2 linked regions of the Rattus norvegicus genome follow. The protein of the gene in region 2 interacts with the protein of the main gene of each other region in a biochemical or structural test. Links are inferred from orthologs where the notes say so. Each region holds a gene or a part of one and is shown on either strand. Other genes may lie near its edges. The genes, in order: Cacnb4 and Cacna1a.

Evidence for each region.
Region 1: the proteins of Cacna1a (region 2) and Cacnb4 form a complex in vitro, tested with the Homo sapiens proteins (2 studies listed by BioGRID). The link is inferred for Rattus norvegicus from reciprocal best matches to the Homo sapiens genes CACNA1A and CACNB4.

What each region holds. Positions count from the first base shown.
Region 1 is NC_086021.1:57,567,665-57,583,824, reverse strand, and holds the start of Cacnb4 (voltage-dependent L-type calcium channel subunit beta-4), read left to right. Parts: upstream 1-5,553; 5' UTR 5,554-5,803; coding exon 5,804-5,863; intron 5,864-5,912; exon of another isoform or gene 5,913-6,091; coding exon of another isoform or gene 6,092-6,100; intron 6,101-6,297; coding exon 6,298-6,381; intron 6,382-16,160. UniProt on the Homo sapiens protein: The beta subunit of voltage-dependent calcium channels contributes to the function of the calcium channel by increasing peak calcium current, shifting the voltage dependencies of activation and inactivation, modulating G protein inhibition and controlling the alpha-1 subunit membrane targeting.
Region 2 is NC_086037.1:40,499,428-40,514,820, forward strand, and holds part of Cacna1a (voltage-dependent P/Q-type calcium channel subunit alpha-1A), read right to left. Parts: coding exon 15,325-15,393; intron 11,843-15,324; coding exon 11,725-11,842; intron 11,598-11,724; coding exon 11,530-11,597; intron 8,185-11,529; coding exon 8,078-8,184; intron 6,288-8,077; coding exon 5,613-6,287; intron 861-5,612; coding exon 415-860; intron 1-414.

The sequences.
Region 1 (16,160 bases), on a different chromosome or scaffold from region 2:
TCGCTCTTACTAGGTTAATCAGTTTCAAACCCCACACCTAAGAGCACAGACTGGACTCCTGTGGTTTAGAAAGAAAAAATGAGGAAAAGTTGCATGAGTCGGGAAAGGGAAACAGTCAATCTGGAAGGAGCCAAGGAGGGTTGGACATGACCAAAACACATTGTGCAGAATTCTCAAAGAATCGATAAAATACTTTTAGGGTATTGATTGAATTTTAAACAAAACCCAAATTCCATCACTGAGCAGAAGGTTTTAATTTAAATTTAGCCTCCAAATCAGGGATTTTTTTTAAAAAAAGTTTTTGGATCAGTCATGCTTTAAACTGGTGTATCTAAAAAAACCTCATCAAACCCAGAGCAGGTATATTTTGTGCTAGATGTGCTTTGTCTCCTATTTGCTCTTAGCTCTGTGATATATTTTCAGTTATGTCTTTAAGACCCAGAAAATTAAAAATAATGGCTTAACTGTCATAGAATTCACACACTTTGCAACTCAGTCGTGTAAAGAATGCAATTCAGGACTTCTGTGTTCAAGAAAAAGTCTATGCTGCCCAGGCTGCTCTCGAATTCCTATGCTCAAGTCATCGTCTTGCTTTTGCTTCCTGAGTGTGCCATGGTGCTGAGATAACTCCGTGGCTTTCAGTGTATGTACATGTGTGTAATGTGTAATAGTCACTACATTCATCTTCGTCATATTCAGCTCACCCAAAAAAACAAATCCCGTGGACTCCAGGCATGTGGCTTGGTGAATAAAACAGTTCCTGGACAAGCGTGAGGACCAGAATTGATATTCCTAGCATCCATATAAAAGCAGAGCTCGGAGGCAGAGACGGGATTTCTAGCTCACTAGCCTAGCTGACTCAGTGATCTTTAGGTGCAGCAAGAGACTCTGCCTTAGTAGCTAAGGTGGAGAGAACATCTGAGGAAGACACCCAAGGCAGGCTTCCACACGTACTTGCCTAAGCAGTCTCTAATCTATTTTCTGTGTCTGCAGATTTACTTATTCTGGATATTTCAGAGAAAAGGAATCATACTAATCCGTGATTTTTTTAGGATTTTTTTTTCACTCAGCATATTTTTTAAAGGATTTAAAATTTTATATGTATTGGTGTTTTGACAGCATGCATGTCTGTTCACTGTGTGCGTGTAGTAGAGTGGAGGCCGGGAGAGGACATTGGATCTCCTGGAACCAGTGTTACAGGTGGTTATCGGCCACCGTGTGGGTGCTGGGAACTGAACTTTAAGTCCTCTTAACCATTGAGCCATCTCTCCAGCTCCTTGCCCAATATTATGGTAGGTATTCTAGTCGGTGTAAGGCGGTAGCTGTCTCACATTGTTTTGTGTTATCACTACAGAATATATGAGACTATATAACATATAATGGGAAATGATTGGTTTTTGCATAGTTCTAGAGGTGGAATGCCAAAGGTCAATGTGCCACGACCTAGTGAAGACCTTCTGTGTCGTCACATAGCTGAAGGCAGAAGGGCCATGATACAGCAAATGGAAGCAAATGTAACTATCATCATCATCATCATCATCATCATCATCATCATCATCGTCATCGTCACCACCACCACTACCACCACCACCACCATCATCATCATTATTATCTTTTTTTACAATGGTCTTTATCTCCCTCCTGGTCTACCCTCTGACTGTTCCCATTCCATATCTCCCTCCCATCTCCAGGAGGATGTCCCCACACCACCAGACCTCCCCACTCCCTGGAGTCCCAAGTCTCTCAAGGGTTAGGTGCATCTTCTCTGTCTGAGTCCAGATCCTGCAGTCCTCTGTTGTATGTGTGTCAGGGGCTTCATATCAGCTGGTGTTTGCTGCCTGGATGGTGGCTCAGCATTTGAGAGATCCCAGGGGGTCCAGGTTAGTTGAGACTGCTGGTCTTCCCATGGGGTAGCTGTCCTTCTCAGCTTCTTCCAGCTCTTTCCCAAATCAACCACAGGAGTCACCAGCTTCTATCCATTGGTTGGGTGCACATATCTGCATCTGACTCTTTCAGCCACTTGTTGCGTCTTTCGGAGGGCAGTCATGATAGGCTCCTATTTGTAAGCACACCGTAGCATAGAAAGACAGGGCATCAAGTGGAGGGATGGGGTTTGCCATCCCACAGTCAAAAGTAACTGTTTATAATGGCATCAATTCCACTCTAAGAGTGGAGCCCTTGTGGCAAAAAATTCTCTTAAAGGTCTAATCTGTTAATACTGTTAAGATGTAATAAAATGTCAGCACGTGTTTTAAAATCATAGTTTGTTGCACTTTCCTAATGATGGTTAGTACACACTTTTTTGGTCACTGATGTATAATTTATTTTTATTTTATGTGCATTGGTAATTTGTTTGCATGCATCTCTGTGTGAGAGTATTGGATCCTCAAGTGTTGGAGTTGCAGAAAGTTGTGGGCAGTGGTGGGAATTGAACCAGGGTCCTCTGGAAGAGCATCCAGTGCTCTTAACCACTGAACCATCTTTTATTTTGATGAAGTCCAATATGTTTGTTTTTCTTTTGTCATGTGCTTTGATATCATGTTTAAGAATCCATTCCCGAATCTGAGATCACGAAGATTTACCTTTCTGTTTTAATGATTTTACATTTTTAGCTTTTCATCTAGGTTTCTGATCCATCTTGGGTTTTTTTTTTGTTTGTTTGTTTTGTTTTGTTTTTTTTTTGTTTTGTTTTTTTTATACTGTGAGAGGTAAGAATCCAATGTCATTCTTCCCTGGCGCGAGGGAACAATGATATATTCTCTCCGACTGTCTTAGTTGATATTCTATTGCTGTGAGGAGGCATACTTATAAAACTTATAAAATAGTTTTAAAAAGGCAACTAAGAAAATAAAGCACTTAGAGGCTTGCTTACATTTTCAGAGGTTTTGTCCATGATCAGCATGGTGAGGATCAGGGTGGCATCAATGGGTGCTGGAGTAGTAGCCAAGAACTCACATCTGACCCAAAGGTTGCAGACAGAAAGAGAACAAGAGTTGACCCTTTCTGGGCTTCTGAAATTTCAAAGCCTACCTCCCAGTGACACTCCTCCTCAAACAAAGCCACACCCCCTAATCCTTTCCAAATAGTTCCACTAAGTATGAACCAAAATTCAAATATATGAGCCTATGGGGGTCAGTCTCACCTAAACAACCACTGTGGCATCATTTTAGAAAAGGATAGCTTGCCTCTTCATGAACCCAAAACTAGTTCCATCAGGAACCCTGCACTCTCAACGAGGCTGTAAGCAACATAAAGTTTCCATCACACGAATGGGGTTATCAGAAGGCAGCCTATACTACCCTCCCATGCTCACTCAAAACTTAATTTCAGCAACAGGTAGTTGGGGAAGAATAGCAGTATCTTTCCCAGGAAAGTACCCCCCCCCCAAAAAAAAACCCTGGGAGCTTCAGATGAGGGGGAGCCTTGTGTTACCTGCATGGGGTGGAGTTTCCCTCTCTGATCAGAACGGGAGCAATCAGGAAGCTTGGCTGAAATGCCACAGACTCACACTTTTCTTCCTGGGGTTCTGTAGATTTTCTTATGCGTCTTTTTGCATCGAGGTGTGCCTGTTACGCCCATTGCTAGAAGTGTATTCGTACTTCTCACTGCCCTTGTTGAGAGGCAGATGCACAGAACAATTCATGCTGTCTTCCTGGTGTGGATTCCGGTTTGATTATTCAGTGCAACTGGGCAAGGAGAAGCCAGAGCCTACGCAAACCATTTAGTCTGTGTGTATTGATGAAGTGTCAACTAAAAAAAGGCTTCCAAACTAAGACCAGAATGAGATGACAGCAACTAATGGGGGTGCTGGAGGTGAGGGCTGTCTACATCAGTGGAGGGATCCATTACCCAGGAACTTCATAGGGGTTTCTACTACACGGAAACTACACAGATACCGAGCTAATTTGGAAATTAGATTTTCACAAAAGCAAGAATTAATATAGTAAGACAGCCTGTGGCAAATATCTAGAGAATGAATGCTCCAGTTTTTCAGGCACAGGACAATCCAGGACTGCAAGGGTCAGGGAGGATCTTCTTCTCTGTGGAGAAAGAGTGAGCTGAGCAGGATTTCAGAATGCTGGGTGCTGTCTAGATGGTGTGGACGGCAGATGCCAAGGACGCATTCTAGAGCTATGATGCTGAAGCAGACTGCAGGTCAGGAAAGAGCAGTAAATGGATCTCCCTGCTCTGGGTTTGCAAAGAGAAATCAATCTGGAGGGAGGAGTTTTGGAGTGTGGGTATGTCTAAAGCAAGCAAGAAGCCTAGATTTCGGATCACAAGAATTTGGGCTTTACCTCAGAAAACAAGTTGAGGAAAAGTGGTTTTAGAGAAATGGCTTTGCCTGTGTGTAGATGGTCTCTCTCTCTCCCTCTCTCTCTCTCTCTCTCTCTCTCTCTCTCTCTCTCTCTCTCTCTCTCTCTCTCTCTCTCTGTGTGTGTGTGTGTGTGTGCCTGTGCACGAGTGCACGAGTGCCAGAGGGAACTTGGAGGCAAGACTAGTTTTAGGACCCAAAGTTTAGACGAAGTGAAAGGGTCTGTAAGGAAAGTATGTAATAGATGGGAAAATAAACGTGGTGCTTGTTTTAATAAGTAAAATGCCAGAACACAGGGTGAGGGGGGCTGATGTAGTAATTTTATGTCTATTTTAACGAGGCATCGCTGCAACCGTAACTATAGTTAGAATTTTTTCTTAATTCACATATTTCCCACCTCTTTTTATTACTTCAAATTTCTTCCTTCTAGGATTCCCTGGCCTTCAATTGATCTCAAATACAGCATGTGTTTGTAACCAGAAAGCTAGCTTGTGTATGGCTTTAGGATGAGTTTCTTCTCCTGGAAACAGCTATACAAATGAGAGGCACGTGGTCAACTCCTGCTTTTTAGCAGGTTTGATGTGACCTTCAAAACTCCTTAGGACAGGCTGGTCTCGGTGGGGCTGCATCTCCAGTCAAACTGGCTGGCAGGCTCTCCCACGCCTGCCTAGGTGTGTGTAACTTGTATCTCCGAGGGTAGAGTTGCCCAAACAACAACAAACAAAAACAAAAGAAAAAACCCACTAATAAAAAGTAAACACACACACACACACACACACACACACACACACACACACACACACACACACACACACGCCAACAACCTAGTGCCTTACCACCATGGGATGATGAGGAAAGTCTCCGAAGGAGGAGTCAGTCTTGTCCTTTTCAAATTCGAGTGCTGGGACGGACGGACACACACACACACACACACACACACACACACACACACACACACACACACACACACACACACACACACGTTCCGCTCTGCCCACACACACACACACACACACACACACACACACACACACACACACACACAAACACGTTCCGCTCTGCCCACTCCCTGCAACACTGCACCAGCTTCCCTCCCCAAGTCCTGATTCATGAACCGTGCCACCTTTGTCTCATTTTAAACTGTGCAGACTATTTTAATCCTCCCACCCCCATCTCAGATTTTCCCCTCCCTCCATCCTCTGGAAAGCTGTGCTGTAGAGCGCTCGCGGGGTGGGGAGAGCACTTCTCCCCAAGGCTCGGGGAGGCGAGAACCGAGAAGCCCCCTCGCCTGGACTTCCCTGAGGGCGCGCGAGGGGGGAGGGGAGCGCTTCGGCCCCTTTAAGGTGCGGCGCTCGGCGAAGTGCGGGCAGGCGGCCCGCGAGCCGGCGCGGGGCCAGGAGCCGGGTAGGGAAGTCCTGCCTCCCCCTCCGCCCGCACCGGCCCGCGCCCTCCGCCCACCGCGCCGCGAGGGCCATGCGGCGCCTCTGAACCATGTCGTCCTCCTACGCCAAGAACGGGGCGGCGGACGGGCCGCACTCCCCCAGCTCGCAGGTACCGCCCCCTCCTCCACCCGCGCCGCCCCGCGCCCCGCCTTGGTGCCGCGAGTGCGGGGCGCTGGTCCCGAGCCGCCGCTCCCTCCTCCGCGCCTCCCGCCCGCTCCTCCCCCTCCTCCTCCCCTCCTCCTAGCCTGCTCCCGGGCTCAGCGCTCGGGCTTCAGTGTCCGCAGCCTCCTGTCGCCGATGCCGGGGACTCAGACCCCGCACCCGCGACGCTTTGTTAATGGATGTGGTGGGTGCTCGGGACCACCCAGCTCGGGGTGAGGGGATGGGGGTGGGGGCGCTGGGAGGCGCCGGGGAGACTAGGACGAGGGGTTCTGGGGGTCCCCGGGGCGCGGTTCCCAAGGAGGACTCCAGCCCCGGATGCCCGCTCAGCTCAGCGCTGCGGTCCTCACTGGCTTCTTTGTGGCCCCGGTGTGTCGAGTTCAGGTGGCCCGAGGCACCACGACCCGGAGGAGCAGGTTGAAAAGATCCGATGGCAGCACCACTTCCACCAGCTTCATCCTCAGACAGGTAGGAGGTCCGGGCGCCGGGAGCCCGCATCCAGCGCGGTCCCCTGCCCGGGAGCGCGAGTCCGGTCCGCGCCGGTCGGGGATCGGTCCTCGTCCCTCTGCTCCCTGCTCCCCGGTCCTGGGGTCCAGCCTCCCCTACCTCTGCTTCCAACTCCTTCCCTCTCCCGGTTCCCTGGCTACCCAGTGTTCGCATCCCTACATCTTTCTGTCGCTCCGGGAAGTTAGTTTGTATTTGTGTACTTGTGTTGGAGAGGAAAAGGGACGCTGGCCGGGGACACTCCATTTAGGAGCTAGAAGTGTTCCTGGCCCACCTTCGTTGCACGGAGGGACGTGAGCGACCTGGTTTGATGCGCTGTGAGAGTTAGAGGATTTCTCCAACCTTTGTCCTATTTTGAATACTTTCACATTTTTGAGAGAGTTCTCTGAGTTCTGGCCAAAAGAGAGACACTTGGAACAGAAAAGTTTAGTCTCGTTTTGGCACCGTTTCATCGATTTCGCGTAATCACGGACTGACGGGGACAGCGGGCTAGTGAGACCTAAATAAGACAGCGCGGGCGCAGTTCCCAGGGTCTGGCTGCCCTGAACCTCGCGCTGGCTTTCCCGTGTTTTCCTCGTGGCCAGAGAGGCAAGTAGTTCGAACCACAGGTCGCTAGCAATGCGCAGTCCTCTGCTGCCTGTCACCTTGAGGAAAGAAATCGACCCTTTGTTTTTGCACTACCCAGTGCCTCTGGAGCTGGATGCTGGAGAAGGAATACAGAAGCGGCTCACCTTGATCCTTCTCTGGAGTGTGCTCCTTCCTGGAGACTTAGGAAGACTTTGGTCAATACCCCAAGAAGCTTTTATCCCAGGTTCTGTCATGGAGCGACCTTGAGAAACACTTTTCTCTCTAGGTCACCCAGAACCTAGTGTCCTGTGATTCCAACTTACTATGGCAGCCGCGGTGGTTTTTTTTTTTTTTTTTAATAATTAGTTTAAGCATATTTTCAAAGTAGAACACGATTTAGACTCAAAATTGGACTCTGACAGCGCTTAAAAGGTCTATAAAGCATATTTGGGTAATATTTCCACGAACATTTGTACTTCCTGCAGAAATAGAAATTATGGCTACCGTTCTGTAGCTCAGTGTGGTGTGCTCCAAGCCGGTACAGTATTTAAACACATTTGATTCTGCATTCAGTTTGAAAGAACATCCCACCCTCTTTGTAGAGCGGGGGTTATTTGTGTATTTGATAAGGGGAAGCCATTGCTCAGCTTAAAATATTTTTTTGAGTTATGCAACGCTGAGCTCTTTATGTTTATCTCGTAGATGCTTATTTTTGGTAGGGCTTTCTTGTTGCAGATTCTTGGAACTACTAATTATGCACTAACGCATTCAGTGAGTGGTTTGACTAATACTTTTGAATTTACACTATCATTGGACTAGTTTACATTCGGAGCCCAAACAAAGCAATGTCCTTTCGAATATTTTTCCTAATTTCCTAATCAGTGAATGATTGAAACTACAAACACACACACACACACACACACACACACACACACACACACGTTGTAGAGTGGGCTGCTGTGTGTACGCTTAACAGAGAAAAATATTGCAATGGCAATTTTGGGAGCTACTTGGACCAGCGAAGGTTTTGAGAATAAATATAGTTCATAAATATTTTTGAGGGTGGGCATACTGATTTCATAAAACGGTCCAAATTCAGGAATTAATTGTAACAAACAATTTTCTTAATTTTGGCACAGAAACAATATCTATTTTGGGGGAGAACTTCATAGCACAGTAAACTCCTGCAATCTAATTTAAACAGCATTGTACAGACCTCTTTAAATTATATACATATATATATACATATATATATATATAAGCATAACACCCTGATAGAACCCTTTAAAGAGTGACAGTAATTTATTAATATTTAAATACTTTAAAAATTAAAATTATCTTAATTGATTGATATTCTGTGTGTGTGTGTCTGTGTGTGTGTGTGTGTCGCTACTGTGTGTTTGTGGAGGTCAGAGGACAACTCATAGACTTGCTTCTCTCCGTCCCCCTGTGAGCCCAGGGAACGGAGCTCAAGTTGTCAAGATGTCAGCAAGTGCATTTGCCATCTCTCCAGCTTTTGAATTCCTGATACTAGAAGGGATGGGATTTCCTGGTGGTGTTTCGCATTTATTTTGCTTTACTACGGGAGAGAGTAAGGAGACCAATTAGATCAGTCAGTTCTCCATGGCTGAGATAAAATACTGAGAAAATCAACTTATAGGAGAAAAGATTTATTTTTGCTTCATGGCTGTGGTCACTTGACTATGCCTGTGATGAGACAGAAAGTCACGACAAAGAGAGGTGGCAGGGAGGGCTGCTGACTTCATGCAGCTGGAGCAGAAAGATGGATCTGGGAACAGAAGCAGAGGCCTGGAGGTAATATAAACCCTCCAAGGGCATGACCTCAAAGATCCACTTCCTCCAGCTACACCACACCTCCTACAATTTCCACCACCTTCAGAAGCCCCAATCAGCTACGAGTTCATCAATGGACTAACCCACTCACCAGATTAGAGCCCTTGCCATCCAAGCACTTTTGAAGAGAGGTTGCCTGGTCCTATGCAGCTTGGTCCTGGAAACCTGACTGGGAATGAAGGAATGACAGACAGTGAGGAGATGACAGGGACACATGCAGAAAAGCTAGGATTGGATGAGCTCTGCTCACCCTGATAGAGGTCACTTCCAACACTGCCCAAAGGATTATGTTTGGCACAAAGAAGTGGTCTTAGCTAGTCTTCTGAGGTGTGTGGAGGGGGGCAGTGTCAGGCTGTGAACACCAGGACCAGCGAGATGTGGTTGATAGTTTCTACATACGTGGGTCTATTGCTACTAAACACTCTGTCATGGACCGAGGAGAGGCTTTGCCATCCCTAAGCGTCACCTGGGCTTTGTCATTTCCCCTGTCTGCTACATTGCTGGCACCTACAATTTAGGAGAGATGAGGGTTTGGAACGAATCCAGAGCACCACTAAATGGCATCTCTGAGGAAAGGTAAGAAGACACAGTTTGCTACTGACAGGAGAGAAAGGAAGAGGTAATCCAGAAATGGCTTAACCACGATCTTCCAAAGAGTGCATAGTCTGAGGGCGTCTTCCGGCCACACCCCAGATGAAATCCAAGAGCTGGTTGAGTTGGAGGGGAATGATGCCTTCCAGTAAGAACTTCAGTGAGTGCTGCTGTCGTGGGGAGGGCTTTCCTCCCCAGGAGGTCTCTGATAGGCCATTTATGGAACAAACATGTATTGTGGCTCACATCTTGGAGAAGTTAGCATTTGCTTTGTAGCCAGCTCTGTTGGACATTGTGGGAGAAGAGTGAAGAGGCTTAGATCTTGTATGCAAAGGTTTGGTTGTTGAGTTGTGGAGACCAATGGGTGACAAGCAGGCATGCATGGCAACCAGGGAGTGTGTGCACTGAGGGTTACAGTGCTGGGGTCTCGCAGCACCTGTGTCACGAACGGCAGAGTGTTAAGTTAGTCCTCGTCGCACTTGAGTTAGTTAGCTTTCTTCGTATTGAGTAACTTTTATGAATCCCTTTAAAGGGTCTGGCCTCCACCCAGTAACAGCATCATCCCCAGCTCTAATCTCTTATGTCTGGATTCAGAGCTTAAAATGAGACATCTTTCTGCCACAGGCCCTTTGCACATGCTGACCACCCATGTGGAATACGTTACTTTTCTCTTTGCCTATTGGTTCTCGATACTCCTCGAGATCTGAGAGTTTCGATTTTGTGGAGGTATATTTTTTAATACTCTCTCTCTCTCTCTCTCTCTCTCTCTCTCTCTCTCTCTGTAGCACAGGCTAGCCTCAAAGTTATGATAATCCTCCTGCCTCAGCTTAGGAATTCGCCTTATTTCCTTTCTTAAACTCCCTGACTAGATCAGTTTTCTAAGTAGGTCCTTTTAGAACAGAGTACCTGTGCTCATTTTTTAGTCGCATGTCTCCATTGCAGTTCAAGATGGATTTAGGTCTCTCTTACTGTCTATCCCCTGACCGACCTGAGTATCGGGAGGGCGAAGGAATGTCTGCGCTTTATCTTTGCTCCTTGGCACCAAGCCTTGTTCCTTTGCAATGCCTGCCCATTTGAATGAAGGGAGAGAATGGGTTTGGGGATGAATTTCTGTTGCAAGGAAGAAATTATTCCCTAACAAACCTACCCGGAAATTCCGTAGCTTAAAACGATTTCTTTCTGCGCACTGACCAGACAGCTCTTCTGCTTATGGGATGTTACGTGGGCACAGGGATGGCGGGGAGGTCCAAAATAGCCTCGCACATGTGGTTGGCAGTCAGTGCAGGCTACTGGCTGAGAGCTCTGCCGGGGCTTTTGGCAGGGCGCTCGGTTTTCCTCCATCTGTGGCGTGCGTGGCTCTTTGGACCTTTTGGTGATATGGTGACTGTAGTCTAAGCTGGACCACCCCAAGGAGCGAAGAGGGCATCGGCAGCTGCCCTAGACTTCAGTTCAAGTGCAATACACCACTTCCTTTGTATTGCATGACGTCAAATAGACTTAAAGAGCCTACCCCATTTCAAGGAGAGAAAAGGGAAAGTATCTCTGTGTGTGTATGTACGGATGTATATGAGTGTGTGTTCATGTGTGTGTGTGTGTGTGTGTGTGTGTGTGTGTGTGCGCGTGCGTGTGTGCGTGCGTGTGCGTGTGCGTGAGCGTGCGCATGTGTGTGTGTGTGTGTGCGTGAGCGTGCGCATGTGTGTGTGCGTGAGCGTGCGCATGTGTGCGTGCGTGTGCATGTGCGCGTGCGCGAGCGTGTGCGAGCATGTGTGTGCGCGCGCGTGTGTGTGTGGTCAGCAATGACCCTAAAGTATTGTTCTCCAGCAGCCATCTAACTTGCATTTTGCATCAAGGCCTCAGTAGGATGAGGGATTTAGTTGCTGATTAGGCTAGAAAGGCTGGCCAGCCTCAGGATCTATCCAGTTCTGCATCCCCCACTCCCCAGAAGGTATCTAAAAAACAAAAACAAGCAAACCAACAATGTCTCCCAAACTTTAAGAAACACGTTTAGTGTGGCGTGCTCTCAGGTGCACGTCACAGCACACATGCCAACATCAGAGAGCAAGCTGAAGGAATTAGCCCCTCCTTCTACCCTGTGGGGCCCGGGCTTGAAATCAGGTCGTGAGGATTGACAGCAAGTGCGTTTCTCGGGGGCTGAGCGTATTTACTCATGTTTTAACGTTTATATGAACGCTACTGTGCCTGCTTGCCTCTATGTACACCATGAGCGTGCAGGGTCCTTCAGAGGCTAGAAGGCATCAGATCCCTGAGGCTGGAATTACAGGCAATGGCGAGTTTCCTGATTTGGGTGTTGGAAACCCAATCCTGACCCCTCTGAAAACAGGAGGAAGTGGCCTTAATGGCCGAGTCATCTCTCCAGCCCAGGAGTGTTTTTGATGAAGTGAAAAGGTCAATTTCCATGGGAGAAAAAAGAAATGGGTAAAACCAAACTAAACTCAGCATTAATATCATATTACAAAATAAGTTAAAATTATTCTATTTATGTGGCAAAATAAAGGATAAATGTTCCATGTATACAAAGAAGTATTTAATTTTATTTTCTAAAAAATATTTGCACTCGCGAGTGCGCGAGCGCGCGTGTGCGTGTGCATGTGTGTGTGTGTGTGTGTGAGCTTGCACATGCATGTGTGAACGTGCACGTGAGCCTTGGTGGACTTGTGGAGGTCAAGGGACAACCTAGTGGAACTGTTTCTCTTCTTGATGTGTTTTCTGGGGTTTGAACTCCAGTCATGGGGCTTTAGTAGTAAGCCCTTTATCTCCTGGGCCATCTCAGGGGTCCTGTTTGGTGAATTTTAAGCATGCTCTCACTTAAGGATGGAGGGAACTTGGTGTAGTGGTGATGTGTACCTGAAGTCCTAGCTACTGAAGAGGCTGAAGCAGGCAAATCTCTTGAGCCTCAGAGTTTGGAGCCGGCTTGGATAACAAAGTGAGACTTGGATCTAAAACAAAACAACAAGAAACAAAAATCAAAACAAACAAAACAGAAAGAGGTGCCACAGGCATAATGGCATAATGAAAATTATCTACTAAGCCCTCAAAACAGGCGTTATATTGCACTGAGACTCTGAAATAAATATATATGTATGTATACATTTATATACATTTAAGCATTTATTCAAAGTACACCGAAGTGAAAAGGTAAGTCATAGAATAAAATAATGACATCACATTTAGAAATAAGAGCTCGTGGGACAGAAGACAGGAGTTGCTGCTGTCTGTGGAAACCTCGTGTTTTTTTTGAGGTATGCTAATCAGATGATCCTTACAATGATTCAATGAACCCACATTGTATTTAGAGATGGAAAACATATGCAGATTCTGAGTTGATACTATAATAAAACAAGTTGGCAGGGAAATTCTTTGGGTTATAATTTGGGTGCTGGTTACAGACACATTTCTCTGATGAAATGTGAATTCGTCAACAGAAGGTATCTGCTTTGTGCACAGCTCTAAGAATAATCATATGCCTAGAGGCATGTAGATATGCCAAATTTATCCATAAACTCGGAATCACACAGTTTTAGAACAGGAAGAGATTGCAGAAGTAAAACCTTCTGATTTCTTACTTCCAGATAACTAGAACATCGGCCCGGCATAGGACAGAAAGGTCACATTGCTAGAGGTAGAGTGAGGCAGCCTTGGCTCTCTTATTTTCTCCACCAAACACTCTAACCCTCGGTGATGAAGATGGACACAGATTTGTAGGTCATGAAAGGGCATATGGGGTTCGTTCCTCTTTAAACCCAGACTACTCATTTATTTCAGGAGTTTATTTAATTGTTTTACTTTTGAAATAGAGAGTTGCTACGTAGCTCAGGCTGGTTTGGAATGCGCATTCTCCTGTCTGAGCCTCCCAGTGCCATGCTTATAGGTCTGGCCCTGGTTCTAGAAGTGACCTTATTCTGTGTGGATGCTTAGAAGAACAAAGTATCATTTGGAGGGTCTGGAGCCTGTTGCCTGTTTTTTGTTTGTTTGTTTGTTTGTTTGGTTTTTTTTGTGTGTGTTTGTTGGTTTGGATTTGTTTTTTGTTTTTGTTTTTGTTTTATTAATTCTATCATGGATGGTCCTTTTTGCTTGTGTGTTCACAGTTCACAAAGAATTATCTCTTTATCTGTTAACTAGTAAACAGACAAATAATATTATATTAGCCACACTCTTACTACTTGTATTTCCTCCCAACCCCCTTGGACTTGAATATAGGAACACATTTAAACAGATGACAATCCCTTGTTATCAGAAACCCAGAAATTAGCTACAGCATGAAGCCACCTTTGATAGTTTTTTAAAATGACTTTTATTTCACTTTATTTTGTCAATCTAGGTGTTTGTCTATATGCATGCCAGTGTACCACATGCTCCCTGGTACCTGAGGAGGTCAGAGGAGGGCATCAGATCCCCTGGAACAGAAGCTACATATGGTTGTGAGCTGCCATGTGGGTGCTGGGAACGAATCCAAGTCCTCTGCAAGAGTAACTAGTGCTCGTAACAACCGAGCCGTATCTTCAGCCACAAGTTACCCTTACTGTTACTCGAGAAAGCTATGGAGAAAACTGTCAGGTGCTGCACCCAGAGGAATCCAACTGGTAGGAGCAAGAGCCACGTGGAGATGCTGCCTCTGTTAGAGTAGGCACTTGGGGTAGAGAAGAGGAAGAGAAATATCTCTCTTCTCCCTTTTGCCTTCAGGTGGCTGCCTAGGTGGGATCCAGTTGACCCGGGAGCCTGGGAAGCATTCTATAGCCTGGGGTAGGGATGGGAGGAGCTGTGAACCCTGTTTATATTTTAGCTACAGCACAGTAGGCACTGAAGAAGTGTTTTCATCAACAAAGGTGAAAGGTTTTTTTTTTCTCTTCCTTGTGCTGTAAGTGGGTCTTGCTTCCTAAATGGTACAGTCCAGTTGCAGCGAACGTTAAGAAAGCACTCACACCGCCTTTGAGACTGTTCTGTAGGGTGGAGCTTCCCAAACTGCAATCTAATCTAATGAAGCAAGGAAGGGATCGGCTTCTCTCCCAGCAAACCCTGTTTGTATGGAACTGAATGTGTGAAAACAATGATGGGGAGGTCTGATTACAGGGCAGCTGGTCAGTTATCCATTGGTTTACTTGTAAGTCCCCACCCCCGCCCTTTCTTTTCCTATGTTCTTAACACATGTTCCCTAAATTCTGTTTCTGTAGAATAAACGACTATGTGTCTTCCAGTTTAGACTGGTAAGATTTTATTGATATACAGAATAAGGTCTGAATCAAGTGGTAATCTTCCTAGGAAATTAAAGGAAACTGTGTAGAGAGCTAGGCTGAAAATGAAGGGCTTTGTGTGTCTGTCCCCACCTGATCCTGGCTCCTCTGGTTGCCCCTACTGCGCTGTACCTATATATGCTACCCTTCCCTCAGGGGATAAGAAACAAGGGCTGAACCGAGGAGAATGTTCTTTAGTCAGATCACTGGGTAGCTAGGCGTAGAAGGCTCCCCACCCCTGTCTCCTAACTCAGAGATCCGCCCCTGACACCCAGATCATTCAGTCTCCTAGCTGGGGCAACAGGTCTTCCAAGCCTGCCTCCCCTAGAGTTGGCCCTGTCTGGATTTAATTGTCAAACCTCAGACTCAGAAGCAGGTGGGCAGCTTGAGGCTCACTCATTATCACTGGAGGCTAGGAGATGCCTGCTGGTACTTGGGGATGGGGCATGCAGCCCACATTCCAGTCAGTAGAACCCTCCCTGCTGGGCTTTCAAGGATTGTGAATAGTGCAGCCTCTGTTGGCTTGTCCTTTGCCAGAGCTTTCTGCCCAGCTTAAGTGCATGGGCTGAGAAGGAGTATAGACCTCAGAACTACCAGTCCTCTGAGCTGGCCCTTCAGTAGGTGGACCTGGCCCATCTGAGACTCTGGACTCTTCAGACTACTGAACCTGGACTGTTATGCAAATAAAATCATTACGAATGAGAAGACAAAGCTACTTACTCACAGACTCTTGAATGCTTCACCATAGTAGAGAATATCAAACTATCAAGCCCTAAGAAGAGCCATGTTTGTTAGCCCCATAAGAACTTTCTGGTTCAGTTGACATTGTCTTATCTTTCTCAGTTGTATCCTTCACAATAAAGCAGAGTTCTGTGCTCTTCATTCTTGAAGACTGGACATTCTCACAGAGGCTCACCAAGAGTCTGGTCCACAAGGCTTTGACTGTGGGAGGAGAATCCTGTAGGGAGGTATTCCTGTCACTAATACCAGAGATAGTGAATTATAAGGAGAAATGGGACTCGGGGCATAGCTCAGTGGTAGAGGACCTTCCCTAGCATGTACAAGGCCCTAGGTTTGATCCTATGAACCAACAAAGAAAAAAGACTTACTTTGGTCTGTGGTTTCAGAAGTTACAGACCATGGCCACTTGGATCTGTTGCTTTGAGACCAATGGTGAAGCACCACATCATGGTGGGGACCTGTGGTGTCAATAAACTGCTTGCCTCAGGCCCCACAACCAAGAAGAGAAAGGAATTCTATGAACTTCAAGGCACCTCCCCTCTTGGCCTAGAGATTTCCCTACTCATCTCGCTTCTGATAGGTTCCAAGTAATGCCACCCTTGGGACCAAGCCCTCAACACTTGAACCCTCTGGGGACACTTATCCAAACCTTAGCAGACCAGCTACAATATAGCTTCAATACCATAGCAGACCAGAAATGTGGAGGCTTGTATCCATAAAATAGCTACAACGTAGATTCAA
Region 2 (15,393 bases):
GTAGCTAAGGGTGGCCTTGAACTTGTGAACTTTCTGCCTCCACCCACCTTGACTGAAGGTTGTCTGTGGTGCTGGAGTTTGTGCCAGGCACAAATACTGTACCAGCTGAGCCAGATCCCAGCCCCCTCCCGTTCTTACTGAGCCGCTGGACCAATTACAGAGGATGTTTCCAGATGTGCGACACGCCTTGGACAGCAACAGTGTACCTAACCTTTCGAGCTGTGTCCAGCCCCCCTCCCCCTTTCCCATTTGGGGATTTCGTTCTCCATCACGGCAGTGTGGGGTCTGTGGAGGGAAGGCAGGGTGCAGAGAACAGCCACAGGCTAACGTCACTGAAGGCTACCACAGGGTCTTCCTCTCACAGTGAGCTTGGACTATGGCAGAAATGGCCCAGGCAACCCTGCAGCTCCTCACCTTGGACCACAGTGTGGTTGAGGGGCGGGCAGGCCGGGGGGATCTCCACCGCCATGTGCTCGGGTTTCCTGGCAGTCTTTGCTGAGTTGGGCTGGGTGCTGCTGGGGTTGGTGACGATAAGGCTGTTCTCGGGAGTCTTGGGGGGGCCGGGGTTGGACGGGTTGCCCGGGTTGTTGGGCGTCCTGCGGCTGGCAGCATTCTGGGGATTGGTGGCCAAGGCGGGACCAGGGTTGGTGCTGTTCCCGATCTTGGCAGGGCTAGGGGGAAGGCCACTGTGGCCCAGGCTGTCGTGGGGACTGGCAGGCTCCCCGGTGGCCAACTTGTTGTTCTTCATGTTGTCCAGGTCCTCAGCCAGTGGCAGGTCCTGGCGGCCCAGATCCTGCTGGATTGGCCTGGTGGTGGACAGGTTGGGACCAGACATGGGGACCCCAGAGCCCTGGCTCTCTCTAAAAGGATCAAAGTGGAAGAGTATTAGGGTCAGTAGGGCGGCCGAAACCCACCCAGGGCTGCAGCACAGTGCAGGAACGGCATGCTGCGTTACTCAGCTCTACTACCCTCGAGGCTCCAAGTTTTACCTGCCCTGAAAAGAAAGGAAAAATAACTACTGACTCTACACTTCACAGAGTGCTGCACTGCTCCAGGCAGGCCAAGCGGTTATGAGATAAAAGGGAGCACCTTCTGTGAACTGGTGAGGACCCCGGCAGAATTCTAACACTGAGCCACACACACCTGCTCTCCTAACTGGGGATTCTAGCTCACACCCCTGCTACTACTGGGGATGTTTTTGCTGGCCCAATATGCAAAGCTCAATCATAAATTTCCAGTTAATCTATCTATCTATCAATCTAGTTTCTCTGTGTAGCCCTGACTATCCTGGAACTTGCTCTGTACACCAGGCTAGCCTCTAACACAGAGATCTGCCTGCCCCTGCCTCATAAGCATTAGGACCAAAGGCCTGCACCATCACCACTGGGCTTGGTTTGTTGTTGTTGTTGTTTGTTTTTTTGTTTTTGTTTTTGTCTTTTGGGACAGAGTCTTACAATATAGCTTCAAGTGTCCTAGAACTCATTATGTAGATCAGGCTAGCCCCAGACTCACAGAGATCCAACTGCCTATGCCTTCCAAGTGCTGGGATAAAAGGTGTGTGAAACCACACACCCAGTACACATTCCAGTTAATTTTAATCCTTAAGTGTCTTCAAGAAAGATTCAAAAGATACAGAAACCTGAATTTGGGCCCTGTCCCATAGCACCCAGGAGAGGTGACTGGTTGTATTAAGCTTGTCTCATGCAGGGTCCCACTTCCAGCCCCCAATGGATTTCTCTCTTGGAGTGTACTCAGTTGAGACCCAGGGGACTGTCCTAGACTATTTGGCGGCGACCATAAGAGTAGCCCCCTTCACTGCACACTTTCTGTACCCTTAAGACTTCGTGCAGTAACAAAGCACCTGAGACTGAAAACAGGATCAACTCCATTCAACAGGACAGGAAACTGAGGCAGAGAAGAGGACATTTGTCCTATGTGAACCAGTTTGGATGGGGCTGAACTGGAATTTGGTCTTCTCTAGAAAGCTTTAACTTCAGCATCACTCAGCAAAGGAAACGAGCAGTGAACAACTTGGGGTGCATGGGATGGAGGTGTTGAGCAATGTGTGAGGGGCCATGTGTTAAAGGCTCACAGTTCTCTGCGACACAGGCAAAGTAAGTAAGCCAGGAAGCTGTGAACTGCAGCAACCCTCTCCATGTACCAGTGGGGAGTGATTGCCATGGTGACAGATGCAGATGGACCTAGGCTGCACAGTTGGTGCGAATGGTCCTCAGACTGGCAGATGCTTGGCAGCTCACAAGTCTGTACCAGGACTCGGGGCATGTGCCTCACTTTGGCCACCTTGGGTATCACCAGGTTCAGCTGCCCTGCATAGGGGAACCGGTGCCTAGCAACCTGTGCACGGTGCAGGAGTAGTGTTCTGGAGATCCATGTTTTAAAGGGGAAGAGAGAGGGGAGTGTGGAAATGGGACTGGGGATGACACTGCCAACATCCCAGACAATGAAACACACGGGGGATGAAATACGTGTGGCCAGAGCATAACCCCACGGGGAGGGAAAAGAAAGGCAGGAGCTCACGGGAGCTCCCAGCTCTCTGAAATAGAATCAAAACGATCCTCAAAACAGAATCTTTTCAACAGCACTTTACTCTGTAGTCCAGGCTGGCTCCAAACTTGTAGCAATCCTCCTGCCTCAGCTTCCTGGGCGCAGGTTTCTAGGCATGCGCCACTGTGTCCAGCTCTAAGGCTTTTGATGTCTTTCAAGGAGAGACTTCGGTATTGTTAATATGGTCTGTGTACACTTACTGAGTCCTCACACGATGCTAAAACACTTGATAAAGTCTTTTTGTTATTTTTGAGACAAGCTCTCTCTATGTAGCTCTGGCTGTCCTGGAACTCACTATGAAGAGCAGACTGATCTCAAACTTAGAGATCCCCTTGCCTCTGCCTCCTGAGTGCTGGGAGTATGCCTGGACAGTTGATAAACTCTTACTATAATTCACCGTTTCACATTACAGATTCTGTATCCATGGACTGAACTGATTATAGACTGAATAATTTTTTTTTCTTTTTTGGAGCTGGGGACCGAACCCAGGGCCTTGCGCTTGCTAGGCAAGCGCTCTACTGCTGAGCTAAATCCCCAGCCTGGATAATGTTTTAAGACTATTTTTATTTTACGTCTATCTCTTAGGGCATGTATGTATGTCTGTGTGACAGTGGGTGCCTGGTATCCCAGGGGACCATGAGAGAGCTTCAGGTTCCCTGGAACGGGAGGTACAGAAGGTTGTGAGTCACCATGTGGGTGCTGGGAACTGAACCTGAGTTTCCTGTGCACGCAGGAAGTGCTCAAGTACTGAGCCTCTCCCCAGCCCCAAGACTGAAACGATTAAAACCAACCAACAAATAAATTGCATTGGCCCCAAATGTATAGACCGTCCCCTTTTGTCTCTTTCCTAACAAATACAGAGCATCTAGCTAGGCAGTGGTGGAGCACTCTGGAGGCAGGGGCAGGTGGAACTCTGAGTTTGAGGCCTACAGGGAAACCGGTGTCAGAAAAGACAAAAAACAAAAAAACCCAACAAACCCGTAACAAAACCAACAAAAACTCCAACAACAACAACAACAACCACAGACCCCAGAATGTACCATGGTCTTACCCAGTGCTGGTCCCTGCAGACTACAGTGGTGTGCTCCCTGGAGCAACAGTTGCATTAATGTGGGGATAACCAACTGCTTACTGATTTGAGGGCTGTTCCACAGGAAGGAACTCAGACCTGGTACTGTGAACCCAGTGGGTGCCACAGGCCGTAGTGGGGAGCCCACGGTTATTAGTGGGTTAAATGTCCACTACTTTTTAAATATTTGTTTAGGCAAAGAGTGACACAGAGTGATACTGATCAGACTCTGCACTGCTTCAGGCACTCCGAGCCACCCGGGCATGGTCTGGAGCCCAGAGGGCCTCAGGATGACCCCTAAAGACATCCAAGGATGGCTGAACTTAGGGCTGCTACTAATCCCACCCACGCTAACATTTACTGAGTACTTGCTGCTGGCTTGGCATCGCTCAACACAGTTAATATGTAGTCATTCACTCAAACCTGTACGTTTTAGTCTATCGTTCGCCCTATTTGCAGATGAATAAATTAAGGACCAGAGAGGTACAGGGACAGTCTAAAAGTCACACAGCTAGATAGTGATAGGCAGGAGTATTTCAGCACCAGGTTCTGCTCACGGTGTGACTGACATTCAACGTTTAGAGACTTTCAAAAACTCCAACCACTCTGTAAGGGCCCTCATTGCCTGTGCTTACTGGCTGGATTTCACAGCCTGGGCTAAAATACAGCTGACATGACCAGACCCCGTTTAAGCTCTCACTGGTTGAGAATCCCACTACTCAGTGTGTGGTCCCAGAAGCTGCACTGCTCAGCTCTTGTTAGGAACAGATTCTCATGGCTGCCCTCATGTCCTGCCCAGTCACAAGCTGTGCTGCCTAGGCCTGACACCTCAGATCCCACACAGCGGAAGGAGAAAGCTGACTCTTGCAGATTGAACGAATGCCCCTCTCCCATAGGCCTAGGTCAGGTTTTGTACATACTGAAAAAAAAAAACAAACCAAAACAAACAACAACAACAACAACAACAACAACAACAAAAACTCTGGGATGATACACTCATAACAATACAAAGGTATATCAAGGGATCGTATAATTAATAATAATAATAATAATATAATAATAATTTGAAGGCAGGTTCTCATTGTAGCCAGGATGGTCTTAAACTTGCTATGTAGCCAAGGGTGGCCCTTAATTCCAGATCCTCCTGTCCCCTCCCAAGTACTAGGATCATGGGAGTGACGCCACACTAGGCTTGAGAACAGTATTTTGTAACAGGGAGATAGACGACTCTATCGACAAAGAAGTCCCTGGGCCTCTCTGTGGAGAGTCGCTCCAGGGTCTTCCATGAAGCACTGCAAAATGTAACGAAAAGAGTAAGAGAAAGCCACTACTGGTGCTGTTACGGAAGACACCTCGGTGCAGAGTGGCTTTTCAGACCTCCCCAGTGACACCATCGAGTAGGCAAAGGACCAGCAAGATGGCAGCTGCAGGTGCTGAATCTCGAGTGCTTTTTAGCACCAGTGCCCACGAGAGCCTTGGCGGAGTTTACTTTTTTAACTCCAGCAATGATTCCACCATTTTGGGGGGTCCAATATACAGGTGAGAACACTGAGGCCAAGGAGTGCATTAACTGAAGAGAAAGCAGCAGGTAAAGAAAGCTATACGAAGCTGATGGAGACGCCAGGCTTTTCCTAGCGTACGCGTAAGACACACAATTCGTTAGTCCTATAGCCCAGACTTTTAAAGTATGTAATGTTGGGATGGGATGTAGTTCAGTGGTAGAGGGCCAACCTAGAATCCCCCAGTGAGGGGCTGGCTCTGTTGTAGAATCTTGTTTAGAAAATGAGGCCCTACATCCATCCCGGCAGTGAATTGCATTTGTTTCCCTATCTGTTAATCAGGACTATGGCTACTGGGTACATCCCCATGACTTCCGGTATGCTTGGTTTGGTGACTGTCACCCTAGCTACGGAGAACTCGGTCTGGAGTGAGCTGGAGGTCCATCTGGGAACCCAGTTCCCTCCCGGAGCCCACTCACTTTCTGCGCCGGTGTCTGCGCTCCCTGTCATCGTGGGCCGGCGGCCCGTGTCGGTGTCGCCGCTTGCGCTCCCCATCATCGCCTTCGCCGTCTGCAGCGCGGGCCGGCCTAGTGGCGTCGCGGGGACGCGGCCTGCGCTCCGGTCTGTCGTCCGGTTCGTCCCCGGGCCGGCGGCGCGCGCGGTGGCGACGAGGCTCGCCCTCGGCCACAGGCCGGTGCGTGTGGCGGCGGGGCGCGTCCCCGGCCTTGGCGCGCTCAGGATCCGCGTCCCAGGGTACGTGCTCGCGGGGTGGCGCGTGCTCGCGCTGTTGCGGCTCGCTCTCGCGGCCATACGGGCCCTCTCGTCCAGGGGCGCGCTCAGGGCTGCTGGGCCAGGCGCGCCGCGCGTCGGGGTCGCGCGCGCTCTCGCGGGGCCGCGCGGTTTGGCGCAGCGCTTCTGGCGCACGGCTCTTGTTGGTGTTGTTGTTACGGTTCTCCTGCGGGTCCACCACGAGCGGCCGGTCCAAGTGCGTCTTCACGTCCGGCCGCAGCGGGCGCGCGTAAGTGGTGGGCCAGCGCTCAGCCGCGTCCCCGTACAGCGCCTCGCGGCTAGCCAGCAGGTTCTGCTTGCGCATCTCGCTGGTGCGCTGCTCCCACACCGACTTGGCAGGCTTCTGGTTCTTCTGCTGTTCCTTCCTGCAAGGCAAGGAAGGGAGGTTGTTTGCAGTGTCATGGGTGTGATGGTGGTCAGATAACGAGGGCTGCGACTACTCCCTCCCCCCATCCCCCAACTCCAGTGGGTACTTTCAACTTTTATAACTTTGATGTATGTGTTTGCATGTGGCCGCCGCAACTTTGTGAATGTCAGAGGGCAACTATCTGCAGTCGGTTCTCTCCTCTCACTACGTAAGAGCCTGAATTCAGGTTGTACAGCTTGGTGTCACAAGTCTTTACCCACGGAGTCATATTACCAGCCCTTTCTCTTGGACTGCAGTGTAGGGCAGTTTCACACCTCTGCTTCCCCACTGCTACGAGGACAGGTGTGCGACTGGTCCATTGTTGGGCTTATAGATACAAGGACTTATGCGAAGTGGCAGGAACTTTAGGAGGCGGGTTCTACTTGGAGGAAGTTAGGTGATGGAGAACCTGCCTCTGAAGGGCATATTGGGCCCTTGGCACCTTCCTTCGTCTCTCTGTTTCTCCAGCACCTTGTGCTGAGCGGTTTGGGTTATCGTTAAGATATCCTGACTCACTACAGGCTCCCATTGTCTCGCTAGCAGAGCCCCAGCCTAGATTCTACCGGTGAGGGACTGGGTATGTGGCTCAGTGATGGAGGCCTTGCCTGCCTACCACAAATGAATCCCGGTGCCAGAATGAATGAATGAATGAACAAACCAACAAATGAAGAAGCAGATGATTTAAATGGCAGCACATGAAGTCATGTCTGATCCTTTTCTTTTGGGCTGTGTGCGGCTGGAGTGTACAGGTGGGAGTCATGGGCGTCCCTGGAGGAAAGCAGTTGGCTGCGCATGCCCTTTGGGTAGTACTGGCCCATCGGGAAGCCTACTGTGCCATAGCCACGCCCCTTGGCCACTGCCTCTGATTCACTGGCGAAGTATCTGCTCTTCCCTTAGAATCAGGGGACTCACTTCTGCCACCTCCTTGGCTTTCTGTAGAGCCAGTTTCTGATTGGCTGCCTCTTCCTCTTCTGGTTCACTCTTGAATCCAGCTGCACCCATGACCCTGCCCAGTTCTCTTCTTTTTTGCCTGGGCTAGCCCAGGTTCCTGAGTCTGACCTTCAAGTACATATAAGATCCCAGCCCCCACAGTCTACTACCACGAGAATCACCAGAGGGCATCTGAGTCTGGTCTTGACACTCCACTGCTCAAGAACTCTCTCTGGCTGTAACTTAATCGGGGGCAACAACTCTTGGAGCCAACTCTGCCTCCTCACCCTCTTTTTCCGTGCCGCACTAGTCTCTTTCCTATTCCTGAAACTCCCTTGCCTCAGAGCCTTGCCTCCTCTCTCATGCATTCGAGTTTTGCTTCCTTTTAGGCAAGGCCTTTCCTAACAAGTTTGTTTTCTGGAGGCAGGATCTCATTATCCCTAGTCTGGACCTGTTGGGTCTGGAACTCCCACAGATCTGCCTGTCTCTGTCTCCAGAGTGGGTCGAGTGCCTGGTGCAGGTTTCATGCTCCTCAGCTCCCTACCCCTTCCTGGCTGCTTCCTGGAGGTTCCATGGGGTATAATTTACTTACTTGTCTTGCTTACTATTCATCCTTTCTCTGATTTGAACAGCTATACAAAAGTGCCCCTCCCAGTCATGAATGCTGCCTTCCCGGCAGTCAGGACAGGACCAGGCGCATAGTAGGTGTTCACTAAATACTCACGGAGAGAAAGGGGGCGAGAGGCTCAGCAGTTAGGGGCCACCCTAACTCTCCCCACATCCTTGCCTGGGTGGCAACCAAGGCTTGGGGCTACTTACACAGCTATGGACATGTTGGCTGCAGACAGGGGACTCACTTCTGCCACCTCCTTGGCTTTCTGTAGAGCCAGTTTCTGATTGGCTGCCTCTTCCTCTTCTTGTTCATCCTAGAAGGCAAGTGGGATTCTTGTTCACAAGAACGGGCCTGGCGGGGAGGAGGCGGGGTGTCCACCTCGCTGCCAGCCAGGGGCAAACATGAGGTACTGAGAAGTTAAGCTCAGCCTGGACCTTCACCAATTAGAACCAAGGTCCCCAGTCAGGCTGGGTGGTGAAGTATACTGCCATTCCCTTGTGGCCAGGTTGGCTCGACAGCTCACTAACCTTTGTAGTCCAAGCTGGTTTGGAACTTGAGATGGTCTCAGCCCAGCCTCCCCAGTGCTGGAATAACAGGCACATAAGAGCATGCCTGGCTCCCCCACCTCTGTTCCCCCAACTTTGTTTCAGGTTTGTGCCAGCTGGAACAGAGCTCTGTCACTGAACTGCACCCCCAGTCCCGTGTCTGTAGGTGTTCTGTGCTTTCAAATTGTTTACGTGCTCAGAATCTGTCCCCTTAGACACTGGGCAGCCCCAGTGGCAGAGCCACTGTACCACACTGTCGACAGCCCATAGGCAGTCTGGGATCTATAAGGTCTATCCTCAGCCCCAACTGTGGGAAGACCAGGAGAGAGGGGTGGGCTTATGGGCTTCATGGCCTAGATGGTTGGGAACTTGAAGTCATTTAGCTATGTCTCAGAAAAGCCCTCAATTGCCCAGTGTGGTGGTGCAGGTGGCGAATTAGCCCCTAATCCTAATACTCAGGAGGCAGAGGCAGGCAGTTCTCTGTGAATTTGAGGCTAGCCTGGTCTACATAGTGAGTTCCAGGCCAGCTAGAACTACAAAGTAAAACTCTGTCTTAATTAAAAAAAAAAGAAATGAAAGAAAGAAAAACTCATCATTGGGGGTTGGGGATTTAGCTCAGCGGTAGAGCGCTTGCCTAGCAAGCACAAGGCCCTGGGTTCGGTCCCCAGCTCCGAAAAAAAAAAGAAAAAAAAAAAAAAGAAAGGTTTAAAACTCATCATTGGGAAAACAAAGAAAAAATGAGGGAACAGAAAAAAACAAACCCAGCAATAAGGAGCAATGGGGGTCTTTGTAGGGTGACTGCCCCCATTTTCTCAGCTCTCCTGGCACAGAAGTAACCTGCACCTTAAACACTGTCAGTGACAAGGAGACAGGGCTCCCTGATGCCGGGCACTGTGTCTGGCATCTTTCAGAACCAGGTCGTTGGGACATTGGCCTCAGCAACACTGGAAACGCAGGTTTCTAGGCCCCTGGCAGCACCTCAGACCTAGGGTTGCCTCCGGAATCTGCATTTTCTACAGGCTGCTCGGAGGGTGTGAAGCACATTCCGGTTTGTCTTGTATGCAGTGGAGAAAACCACAAGTTTCAGTCAGCTAGGGTTAAAATCCCAGCATCAACCACTTACTGCTGTGTGACCTACAGTAAGTCTCTCAACTTCTCTGTTCCTCTTCTTCATGACCAAACTTCCAGGACTCCCTGACTCGTCTCACTGCACTATTTCCTTCAGCACCGTCTAACAAACTGGTTTTAAAAATGTGTCTTGATTTCTGGCCTGCCTCTACAACCTGAATCCCTGTCTCCCCAGGGCAGGGACTGTTGTCTGTCTTGTTCACTGTAGCCAGGGCTGTGCTCACTGTATGTACTCATTCCATGATTACAGGATGAGGTATGGTATCTAACCTGGACCTCAGACAAGTCCCTTCCCTCACTTGGGGATTACAGTGGTGTGAATCGTGTGTACCATGGATGAAGGGGAAAGCTGGGGTCTGCAGGGGGATGGCTGCCTTCACTGTGGAGTGTAACTGGCCTGTCTTTCTGTGCCAGCCTCCTGTATCTTGGATGAGCTCCTGGCTGGATCCGCCTGTGGTGACACATGCCAGCCAGATTCATGGTGGCTGCACTCTTGGCTTTGTGCCTGGGGTGGGAGACTTCCGCTTTTCCCTGCTGGAGGTGGGGCCGGGAAATTCTCCCTCCCTCCTGCCAGGGCCAACAGATGGAAGGTTGGCAGTCCCTACCCCTGTAGCCTTCTAGTCTTGGGTTCTGAGGCACTTGGGGACAGCACTGTGAAGCTGGAGCATGGGGAGGGGCTCCAGGGCGATGGTCTCTGTCCCTGACACCTCAAGCTTGTACAAAGTGCAGTTTCTTTATGTTTTCCTCTCCCGGGCAGACACCCATCTCTGAGCACAAAGCCCCCACTCAGCGTCACCCTGTCCTGTTTTCTTTGCATAGTGCATAGGTAACCTGGCTGCTCTGCTTACAGACTGTCGCCACCAGGGGGCGCCAGCTGCTTTGCTGAAAGCAAGGTTACCTCCCCCAGGCCTGACTGACACGGACCTGAGGACAGTTAGGATGCTGGAGGCTGCCCTGAGGGGCGTGTGATGCCAGTTTGCCCACAGATAATTTGGCGTCACTGAGTAGGAATGAAAACCCGGCTTCCTCTCATCCAGTGGCTTTCCTGCCCGAGTCCCCGCCCCATCTCTTCTCCTCTGCCCTTTGTAGGGTTCCATCTTTGCTCCTGTAGTTCCTGGTGTCTGGTACATGCATCTACCCTCCCTGGCCTCAGTTTCCCCACATGTGGAGGGAGGATGTGAGAGTGTGTGTGTGTGTGCGTGTGCGCTGTTTTGAGGGAAGGCAGGTTCTTGCTGTGTAGCACGGGTCTTGAACTTGCAACCATCCTATCTCAGCTCTGTGCTCACAGTCCTGCACCACCACACCCACTGCATGACGCTTTAAGTAGTGGCTGTGGCTGCCAATACCATCTGGCAATAGATTTTGACTTTTCTGACCCTCAGTTTCCCCTTCTCCAAAGGGAGACTAGATTAGATAGAGCCCGGCACCTGAAGCACCACAGTTCCTTACTGTTGTTCCTTGGAAGACCAGCCCGAGGGCATTTCCTCTTGTTTAGTTCCTCAGCACAGGGCCACATGTGGAAGGGACCACAAACCCTCAGGCCCATGCTGTCCTCCCAACCAGGTAACCTCTGTGCATCTTGTCTGTAGCCTCCTATCGACTATCCCATGACATGCTCCGTGTGGAAGTCAGAAGGAGAGCGAAGGGGAGGCATCCCTCGTCACTGTGGCTGAGCCTTGCTAGCTTCAGCTCTGCCAGAGGCCCTACCAAGTCACTCCTTGTGGGTCCTTTGGCTGGTGGCAGTGCCCATTATCCCGGAACTCCTTATTCCTCAAGCCTTTGGGTGCAGCTGAATATCTATTCTCAGTAGCAACTTTACCGTCCTTCCCCTTCTGGGCTACAGACTGTCTTGATCAGGGATGGCTCGGCTCCAGGAGAGGTGCCCAGTGCTCCCATCCCCAGCAAGAGCCCTGACCCAGCCCCCACATTCCTCCAAACCCTGCTGTCATGATCTGCCATGAGCAGGTGGTTACTGTGCCCTCCACCTTGGTGAGTTCCTGGGCGTTGGCCAGGTTGTCCACCGCGATAGCCAAGAACACGTTCAGCAGGGTGTCTGCATGTCGAGTCAGGGAAAGCAGCGGATGGAAACTCACGGCCTGATGGAGCTGACAGAGCCTGGGCATTTGGGTCCCGTCTGCTCCACCCACACCCAGTCTGTCCCTGGCCCCCACGAAGGATACAGTTCCCGAAGAGGGTGAGGACGATGAAGTAGATGGAGAACACCATGCCGCCCTGCACGCCCCCCTGAGACTTGATCCCATCATACATGACCTCATTCCAATCCTCGCCAGTCAGGATCTGAAAGACAGGGACAAACACACAGCCAAGCCCCTCTCAGCCACAACGTCCGCCATGACGGTCAGCCTACCGGAGGCCAGGTCTTCAACCACCCACCTCTGTGCTTGTGGCTGGGGGTACTCAGTCAGGCTGTGGGAAATAGGGGACTTGAGAGTCTCATGGCTCGCTGTTATCCTGTCTTCTCTGCTGTGACACAAGTGTTCACTCTGGACTGAATGGGTCCCTGTCAAGCTCCAAGGCAGAAGCTCAGCTCCAAATGAGTTGTATTTGACAATTTAGCAAGACCCTGTCTCTATCTCTAACAACAAACAACAATTTAAAAAGCAGGGATCCTGGGGATGGAGCTTCGTGGCTGAATCCTTGCCTAGCTCATCATGGTCAGCGGTTATGGGAACTTTGAGAAGTAACTGGGGTGACATGGGGTCATGAGGTTGAAGCCTGTCACCTGCTTAGAGGAGGAGGAGAAAAAGGGGGGAGGAGGGGGGAAGACGAAGGAGGAGGAAGAGGAGGAGGAGGATGAGGAGGAAGAAGAGGAGGAACAGGAGGAGGAGGAGGAACAGGAGGAGGAGGAGGACAGAGGTCTGAAGATGTAGCTCAGCAGATGTAGTGAGTGTAGAGCACTTGTCTAACATGTACAAAGCCAGGACTCTATCCCCAGGACCACCTAAACCAGACATGGTGGCACGCACGCCGTTATACTAGCATGGGGGAGGTGGGTATGAGGATGAATTGAAGGACAGCCTTAGCTATACAGCTAGCATGAGGGTAGCCTGGGCTATATGACTCTCTCTCTCTCTCTCTCTCTCTCTCTCTCTCTCTCTCTCTCTCTCTCTCTCCAGCTAGCATGAGGGTAGCCTGGGCTATATGACTCTCTCTCTCTCTCTCTCTCTCTCTCTCTCTCTCTCTCTCTCTCACACACACACACACACACACACACACACACACACTTCTGAGATGAAGGAGCTAAGATGTTTAGCTCACCCATGGCAGTGCACAAAGGTCACACACTGGCGGGGGACAATTCCTCCATGATGAGCATGGAGAAAACTGAGGGGATCAGGCTTTCTATTCACTTGAGCGCAAGTTTGTGCATGCATGCGTGCGTGCGTGCGCGCGCGTATGTGTGTGTGTGTGTGTGTGTGTGTGTGTCGGTGTAGAGTAGGCCTCACTGTACAGACTGTACTGCTTTGGGCTCTGTGGTGCTGAGCCGAGCAGCCGGGCGGGCACACTGTGTTAGCACTTTGTGCTGTGCCACAGATTCCTGCCCTGGTCAATCATCTAATGTCCTTAAAAAGAAAGTTCTCGTTCTCTCTCTCTCTCTCTCTCTCTCTCTCTCTCTCTCTCTCTCTCTCTCTCTCAGCCATATTTTATTTTTAATTATGTGTATGTGTGTGAGTCTCTGAGGGTTTGTGCACCAGACTGTAGGCGTCCCCAGAGGCTGGAAGAGGGTGTCAGGTCCTTTGGAGCCGGATGTGCAAGGTGGTTGTGAGCCACTGACATGGGTGCTGGGAACTGAACCCAGGCTCTTCGAGCAGTACACACACACACACACACACACACACACACACACACACACACAGAGAGAGAGAGAGAGAGAGAGAGAGAGAGAGAGAGAGAGCGCATAGTGTTAGTGTGAAAATCAGAAGACAATATGTAGGAGTCAGTTCTCCGTCCACCACAGAGCGCCAGAGACAAGACTCAACTTGTCAGGCTTGGGAATAATCACCTTTGCCTACTGAGACATCTCATTGGTCCGTCTGTCCGTCCATCCACTCACCCATCCATCCATCCACCCACCCATCCATCCATCCACCCATCCATCCATCCATCCACCCATGCATCTATAGTCAGGGTGTCACTATGTAGACCAGGCTGGCCTCAAACTCAGAGAGATCCACCTGCGTCTGCTTCCCACGTGCTGGGATTGAAGGTGTATATCACCATCAGCATCTGCCTTCCTATCTTTTAAAATGAAAATAAGAAAATGAAAAAAAACAACAAAAAAAGCCCACCCCAGTTTCTTTTCTTCTATTCATAGTTTCCTGAGGATGAAGGAAATAGGAAAGAAGTCTAGAATGTTCCTCTGCTGTGGTCAGGCTTCTCAGTCTGGCACTGTTGGTCTAGCATGGGTCATTCTCTGGGAGGAGCAACCTGTGCCCTGCCAACTGCTGAACACCCCTGGCCTCTGGTAACCAGATGTCAGTGTTATCTGCCTGCCCCACATAGGTATGACCATTAACAGGGTCTGCAAACCATCAATCGACGGGTCTGCAGACAATCAATCAACAGTCTGTAGATCATCAGCAGGGTCTGCAGACAGTCAGCAGGGTCTGCAGACAGTCAGCAGGGTCTGCAGACACTGTCTCTGTTCTGGGAGGAGCTAGGGCCTGTTAATCATCTGTCCTCTGGTTCTGGGCATTGCTTCCCAGCTGTCCTCTCTCAAGCCAGCCTTGAAGTCTCATTTAGAAACAGCCAGCTTATTAAGAAAAGGAAGGATGGGAGCCATAGTCTCTACATAATTCCATTCTCTTCCAAAGGAAACAAAATCAGTTTGAATACATTAGAGATCTCTGATGGGCCAGTCTCCAAGCCTCAGTGTAGGTACCCCAAGAGGAAGCAAGCCTCCTTGTCCTGGAAACATGTGGAGACTCCTGCTTCAAAGATGGGTAGATGCATCAACCAGGCCTTTCCCCTTTTGCTTTGTCTTGTTTTGGGTGGGGTCTCACAGCCTGGCCTTGAACTGGAGATCCTCTAGTCTCAGTCTTCTGAGTGTTAGGATTATAGGTGTGTGATATTACCCTGGGTTCTCTTTTCTTTTTGGCTTCCCTTCTTCCCTCCGTCCCTCCTTCTCTCCCTCGCCCTTCTGCCTTTCCATCTTTCTTTCAACAGTGTTTCATGTAGCCCAGGCTGGCCACAAACTCATTGTATACTGAAGATGAACCCTTACATCCTCTTGCCCTAACCTCCATGTCCAGTGTGCATCATGCCGTACCTAAGTAGCTGGAGCCCTGCCGACCCTGGAGGGATGGTCTCATCCTGGGGAAGCCAATTCCTGGGAAGAGTTTAGCTATTGTTCTCCTGATGTAGAACAGCTCACCCTGACAGCTCTGTCAGGGTCCTCCGTCCAGTCATTCCAGCACAGGGCGGACAGTCCACTTCACCTGCTCCTTCTCGGGGAAAACCTCAAGCAAGGCTCTTCTGTACCCCAACCGGCTCAGGCACTTTCCTGTGTGGTCCTACATAGCAGCCTCTTCTTGGTGTGCGTGCATTGTGTTTGGCTGTACTTAACGCAGGAATCGGGGCCTCACAATGTATTAAATAAATGCTCTCGCACTGAGCTGCATCTTCAGCAACAGTAAAAGCAAGCATTCCAAAACAGTGGGGAAGGGAAGAGACCGAAGAATTCGGGGATGCTCCTGGGCTGTTGGGAAGCCCCTGTCTAGTATTTAAGGAGCCTGAATCAGGGCCAAGGAAGTTCATACCTGAAACACAGTCATTATTGCTGCTGGAAAAGTGTCGAAGTTGGTGGGAGGAGTCCCCTCGTCAAAATT